Linked DNA regions of Saccharomyces cerevisiae S288C. The gene in region 1 interacts genetically with each later gene. Each region holds a gene or a part of one and is shown on either strand. Other genes may lie near its edges.

Region 1 (4,146 bases):
CCTTCGTCTTTTCTTCAGTATGCTGATGCCTAGATTCAAAAAATGGATTCCAAGAGAGCCGATGATTTGTTTTCCAATGTCATAACTCCACACAATCATTTTTCTCCTTGGATGCTCATAGTTTCTTTTCACCAATAACACAATCACGGCTGTCATACCCATCAATGTCTGGACAAAAAGAGACACGGGCCCCAACAACTGGCAAGTGTCTTTCCCATTAGAAACATACATATTCTTTTCGATTAATTGGCAGTTCTGCTGAACTTGTGTGACTGTTGGGCCTCCTGCTAATATGTATTAGAACTTTTTCTGCTTAGTACATTCAAGTACTTTTGTGCAGATGTTCGCATCTGCAATAAACTTTTAATCTCCCTTCCACTCTCATCGTCTACAAACCCATACACCATTTGTCAAGCACATGCTTAATCCAACAATATTCAAGATTTAATATTTATATATATATATATATATATACATGCAGAGGGAACGTTTTCTCCCCTCGTAGGTAAGGCGATTACGTGTCTAAAAGAACGATTTTGCAAGCGCTTCTAAATTTTGTTCCTCTGGCGTTAAGCATTTCGTATTTTTCACAATGTTTAGTATTATGCCCGCTATAAATTTCCCATTGTTGAAACAACTCTCGCTACCCTTATCTTTATTTTCTTTAAATGAAAGTATGGTCTCTAATATCAGGGTTAACTTTTGAATGTAATCCTTGAATAGTATATTTTCAATCGGATTCACGTCAGCTGTTACACTTGAATCTTTTAAATAAATTCCAACCGTTTTTGTGATATGAAATAAATCTGAGATGCTTAGTTGTTCTGCTTGACCTAAATTTTGGAATTTGAAGATCGAATCCCATAGGGATGTAATAGCTTCTTTAGGAAGGGCTTTCTTGGACACAAGCAGCTTATCCATCGCAATACAGGACGTTAACGTTCCATGCTCTGCTATAAAAGAGATAATTGTTGGATCACTGCTTATTGAATTGTGTATTTTTGAACTTGGAAGCACCGTTAAAGTTTTGTTTAATAAATTTGTTAATAACGATCTCAGGTTGTTATAATATTTAGTTTGCTCGTGACATCTTCTCATAATCTGAAATAGGGTGAAGAGGTCCTTGATATCTAGCCACATGGTATTTTCCAGATTTAACAGCTTCCTCAGTAAATCTAGGAATCCTTGATATTGTAGTGGGTCTTGTAGCAAGCTACCAACTTGAATCAATTCACTAAGAGATATGAGCTTCAGTAGCGCGACAGCGTCACTTTTGGATGCAACTGAGTTACATAATATCATCAAAGCTGCGGCTAGGGCATAACTACTTGCGGAACTCTTAATAGTTTCGATACATAATGATTGCTCTCGTTTGTTAGAGTTTGTTAGGTTGGCGGAGATGTTGCCTGCGCACGATATGAGTCTTCTCATTACAATTAGCTTATTATTGAAGGTTTTTGATTCTAAGCAAACTAAGGACAATATTAAATTTTTTTGCATGCTTAGCACAAGCTGCTCCTCATTGGTAAAGTTTATAGTTTCATCCTTGGCTACAATAGTTTCAAGACATGTTGACAGATTTAATAGCAATTCACAATTAACGTCCTCCTCATCATCTTCTTCCTCTTTTTCGATGTACTCTTGATTTCCTTGGCCAGCGAACTTCTGAGTTTCAGTATTTGAATATGCTTCGACTGCTCCATCTTCCATTGCCTGCAATTCTTTATTTTGCACATTTGAAGAGATTTTTTTGATGTACTGGCTTAAGAAAAAGAGATCGCTTATTTGAACATTTGAGTAATTGACTTTTAAAATATCGTTCAATAAATCTGAACCTAAAACAACTTTTTCGGGAGATGACAAATAGCTATATTGTGTGGTTTTCAACAAAACAAATAATGGACCTCTAATGAAGGGAGCCAAATTTTCTGTATACTTGAGATTTCCAATGCAAAAATTCCTTAGTAGCACAACTGACCGCATCTGTAATTTATCCACTAAGCTATCCTCACTCTTGTCAGAAGAAATTTCGTCCAGCTGAAGAACCCCGCCTATATAATAATTAAGAAGCTTTTTACCTCCAGAATCCAAGAGAATTTCCCGATTATCATCATTATCAATTATTGCGTTAGCGATACATCTAATCACTTCAGAACTGATCTCATAAAACGCTATTTTATCATTAATTGAAATGCTCGTATCATGAAAGCAGATATCAAGCGCTTGTTCTAATACTCTTACTAGGTTCAGTAGCAGCCCAGTTTTACCAACAATATCTCTATTACTTGGTTCTCTCAACGAAACAGCCAATTGGTCCATTACCGCTAGGTAGCTTCCTAAGTAGACATCGTTCATCGGAACATCCTTTATTGAAGACGCATTGAGGATCGGTTGCAGACCAAATAAAATTTCTTCGTAATCCATTTAGTAGGACAGTTATTTTCACTTGAAACCACAATCTTTTGGGGCTGAAATATAGATGAGGTGATTTGTTATTCGCGGTTAGTTTTAGTTCGCGAGTGACCTGCTTACGTTGTCTTCAGCCATTTTACGTTGCTTGGCTTGCCGCCGGCGGGTAATATGATCTTATTTTGACATGGTTAAAGAAAAATACTTTTGACTAAGTACCTTTATCACAAGAAAGTTTAGGAAGGGATTCACTATTTGAAGATCAGACAAATGAGTATACGATATTGGCTCAATATTTTAGCCGAGTTTGCTTAAACTTAGTGGCAGAACTTTAGTCATGGGAAGACAAGAACGATCTTACGAGGCCCTTAGGACCTCGGCGGCTAACAGTAAAACTGGTAACTGACGGACAAGGAATATCAAGGTCATATTTTGAAAAGGTCTTTTTGGGTGACTACTTGGGTAAGAAATAATTAGACGAAGTTTCTTTCTGATGTGTATTGAACTAGTGCTCGTGCTTACATACACATCGCCCATTATTGCCTATAGTTATCCTCACTTTATACGAGGTCTGGCCGTTAACGGTTCTTTTACATTGAAAAACTAAATCAGTCACCCACGCAAATAATGAAAAAAAAAAAAAAATCAAAAGCGAAAAGAAACCTAACGCATATTCTATTCAAACGTTGAATGATTGTATTATTATAAATCATAATCACGTAAAGCCACCGAAATTTTTTTCCAGAGTGAAGAATATAAAAAAAATATCTTTAACCAGTCTATAATGTCTTCTGGTTTGGTCTTAGAAAACACGGCACGTAGAGATGCGTTAATCGCCATCGAAAAGAAGTACCAAAAAATATGGGCTGAAGAGCACCAATTTGAAATCGATGCGCCATCAATCGAAGATGAGCCCATTACAATGGACTCTGAAGAGTTACATCGCACGTATCCTAAATTCATGTCGTCTATGGCCTATCCTTATATGAACGGTGTTATGCACGCCGGCCATTGTTTTACTCTCTCCAAAGTCGAATTTTCTATTGGTTTTGAAAGGATGAACGGTAAAAGAGCTTTGTTTCCATTGGGTTTTCACTGTACAGGTATGCCAATCTTAGCATGTGCCGATAAACTAAAGAGGGAAGCCGAACTTTTTGGCAAGAACTTCGACAATGTACCAGCAGAAGAAGAAGAAATTAAAGAAGAAACGCCGGCTGAGAAAGACCACGAGGATGTTACCAAATTCAAAGCTAAAAAATCTAAAGCCGCAGCCAAGAAGGGCCGTGGTAAGTACCAATTCGAAATCATGTTACAGCTTGGTATCCCTAGAGAAGAAATCATTAAGTTCGCCGACGCCAAGTACTGGTTGACCTATTTCCCACCTTTGTGTGAAAGTGATTGTACTTCACTTGGGGCTCGTATCGATTGGAGACGTTCTTTTGTCACCACTGATGCCAATCCTTATTACGATGCCTTTATTAGATGGCAAATGAACAAGTTAAAGGCTGCTGGTAAAATCAAATTCGGTGAACGTTATACTATTTACTCTGAAAAAGATGGTCAAGCTTGTATGGATCACGATAGACAATCCGGTGAAGGTGTTACACCACAAGAATATATTGGTGTGAAAATTGAAGCTTTAGAGTTCGCCGATGATGCCGCAAAAATCATTGATTCAAGCTCAGATCTTGACAAATCCAAAAAATTCTACTTTGTCGCTGCCACGTTGAGACCGGA
Region 2 (3,203 bases), on another chromosome or scaffold:
CTTAACATTTAAATATTGCAGAGAATCCATCAAGGGGTCCTTTGCTAGGATACATCTTGAAAATAACGCTTTGAAAATATCTGTCGTAACCTCCGGTATACCTCCCTTACCGTAAAACAGTTCAAATATGTACTCTTTGTATGCCAACGATGGGACTCGGCTATATGCCGCCATTATGTAATTCCAACATAACTTAGCTCCTAATGGTCCCATCATTCTCAAAATGTGAAATTGTTGTTCAAATAAGTATTTTGGAATCATATTTCTTTTGGAGTAAAACTTGGAATTTGGATTTTTAAAATCGATAGTATAAAGAGTGTTGGAGTGGAAATTATTATTTACAGACCAGATATTCCTTTCCACTCCTAGTGGGGATACCAAGCAAAGTTTGTTTACCGAGTTTGGATATTTAACAGCATATTTAAAAGATAAATATCCGCCAAAAGAATGCCCCACAACATTCATTTTGCCCAATTTGTTATCAATGCGCCATTGCTCGATTCTGTCGAGATAGAAATCTTCGTACATTTGAATCACAAATTTATTGTGATTTGCATTTATTGTATATGGAACCTTAAATTTATTTTCTCCAATAAATTTGATATCTAACGGCAGAGGTGTTGTTGTATTGATCTCTAAAGACGGTACTGAAGACAATCCGCTCGCTGGCATGTCAATTGAGTATAAATTTCGGATGTGCTTGGACAGACCTGGATAATTTCTGAAAAAAGACATTGAAGATGCGGCATAGCCATGTATCAGCAATGTTGGTGTTCGAACAGTACTTGTGTTTTCATTTTGGAAATGCCATTGATTTATTTCGTTGAATAACTTATCATTCTTTTTAATACCTTCAACGTGTACCTCTTCCATAATACGTCTCTGTAATTCCTCCAGCCGCATATAAGTTTTGTGTGGGTTATTCAAATGGCTTGACCATAGCTTGAATCCAGATTTTTTGACAGCATTTTCCTCCTTGGGTCTAAGAATCCTTTCCAAAATTTTTCTCTGGAGACTCTTTTCACGACGTTTAACTTCCAGTAGGCTTCTATTACTGTGGAACGCTCTCTTCCACATGTAACATTTATATACATTCATTATCTGCCTCCTTAAACTTTCAGGGTCCATCAAGTACCTCTTTATTAAAAGCATTTTTCATTCGCTCATCCTTAAACTGGAAAGGCATAAGGAAACTGTCAGAATATATAAATAGAGGTGTAAAACATGTGAAGCTCTGTGGAGTTCTAAGCTGGAATCGAAACAGTTGTCTCAATTTTAGTAATGTCCAAGGGCTTTCCAGGAGGTCAGTATATTCAAAGCCAAAATAATTAATGTTTTGGTCTGAATTTTTATTTTTCAAAAATGAGGTGAAAACCTCCAACGAAACTTTTTAATTAAAACCATCCGATACAGAATTTTAAATCATCTAAAGCATTTATTCGGCATTTTATCCTTGAATAACGTACTATGCAACTCATATAAATACTACAATATACTTTCTCTTTAGGAAATTCGTAGCTATCAACAAAGGTAGTGTCATTGTATATATACTTCCGCCTTCCTAAAAAAAACTTCATTATGCCTCCAAAGAAGATATCTTTGTCTCCTAACATGAAAAGAACAAACAATGTCATGGAATCTACTATTTGTGCTGCTAATAGGATTCGTAGTTTTGATATTACTTTCGCCCGTCTTCAAGTCAACATGGCCATTTTCGACTTTCTATCGTAATGTGTTTCAGCCCTTCCTAGTGGATGACCAAAAATATCGTTGGAAGTTGCATTTAGTACCTCTTTTCTACACCTCTATTTACCTGTACCTAGTATATACATACCACATGAGAGTGGAGTCTACGATTAAGAATGAGCTATTCCTTTTAGAACGAATACTGATCGTGCCTATAATTATACTACCGCCGGTAGCATTAGGAATTCTAGCCATGGTAAGCAGAGCTGAGGATTCAAAGGATCATAAATCAGGCTCGACAGAGGAATATCCATATGATTACCTATTGTATTATCCTGCCATAAAGTGTTCGACATGCCGGATCGTCAAGCCTGCTAGATCCAAACATTGTAGCATTTGCAACCGATGCGTTCTCGTCGCCGACCATCATTGCATCTGGATAAATAACTGCATCGGAAAGGGAAACTACCTTCAATTCTACCTTTTCCTAATTTCCAACATATTCTCGATGTGCTACGCCTTTCTAAGGCTGTGGTACATTTCTTTAAATAGCACAAGTACGCTCCCTAGAGCTGTTCTGACTCTTACCATATTATGTGGATGCTTCACTATCATCTGCGCTATTTTCACGTATCTTCAATTGGCCATTGTAAAGGAGGGAATGACTACAAATGAGCAAGATAAATGGTATACCATTCAAGAGTATATGAGAGAAGGAAAACTGGTGAGATCATTGGATGATGATTGCCCATCTTGGTTTTTCAAATGCACAGAACAAAAAGATGACGCTGCTGAACCACTCCAAGATCAACATGTTACGTTTTATAGCACGAATGCCTACGACCATAAGCACTACAACCTTACACACTACATCACGATTAAAGACGCGTCCGAAATTCCCAATATATATGACAAAGGTACCTTCCTGGCCAATCTCACAGATTTAATATAGTAAATTGTCATGCATATGACTCATCCCGAACATGAAATTTTTTTTCACTCGGTTTTTTCTCACCGCCATAGATTCTAACCGCAAATGTCGAACAAATTCATTATACAAGCGGTTTATTAATATAGAAGGTAGGACGCCGACTCGTAACCATTAGTAACAGATCACAGCTATACTCGGTCGTTCAAGTTTATATAATCTCCTAGTTGAGAAATCCCTACGTAAGATAATTGTATATTACGATGGTGCAGTTAGCCAAAGTCCCAATTCTAGGAAATGATATTATCCACGTTGGGTATAACATTCATGACCATTTGGTTGAAACCATAATTAAACATTGTCCTTCTTCGACATACGTTATTTGCAATGATACGAACTTGAGTAAAGTTCCATACTACCAGCAATTAGTCCTGGAATTCAAGGCTTCTTTGCCAGAAGGCTCTCGTTTACTTACTTATGTTGTTAAACCAGGTGAGACAAGTAAAAGTAGAGAAACCAAAGCGCAGCTAGAAGATTATCTTTTAGTGGAAGGATGTACTCGTGATACGGTTATGGTAGCGATCGGTGG

What was found. Genes that interact genetically often act in the same process or in processes that back each other up.
Region 2: mutations in BEM4 (region 1) and SWF1 together harm fitness more than expected from each alone (negative genetic interaction), as found in Saccharomyces cerevisiae (3 studies listed by BioGRID, with this or other methods).

The regions. Positions count from the first base shown.
Region 1 is NC_001148.4:243,797-247,942, forward strand, and holds BEM4 (Bem4p), read right to left. Parts: upstream 2,425-4,146; coding exon 523-2,424; downstream 1-522. Other genes in the region: YPL162C (uncharacterized protein), read right to left, coding at 1-231; leucine--tRNA ligase CDC60, read left to right, coding at 3,194-4,146. UniProt on the Saccharomyces cerevisiae protein: Probably acts as a GEF (guanine nucleotide exchange factor) for the Rho family of small GTP-binding proteins (G proteins) that stimulates the dissociation of GDP to enable subsequent binding of GTP.
Region 2 is NC_001136.10:701,607-704,809, forward strand, and holds SWF1 (palmitoyltransferase SWF1), read left to right. Parts: upstream 1-1,627; coding exon 1,628-2,638; downstream 2,639-3,203. Other genes in the region: ECM18 (alpha/beta hydrolase family protein), read right to left, coding at 1-1,152; ARO1 (pentafunctional protein ARO1p), read left to right, coding at 2,878-3,203. UniProt on the Saccharomyces cerevisiae protein: Palmitoyltransferase that targets several endosomal SNAREs. Palmitoylates the SNAREs SNC1, SNC2, SYN8 and TLG1, at cysteine residues close to the cytoplasmic end of their transmembrane domain.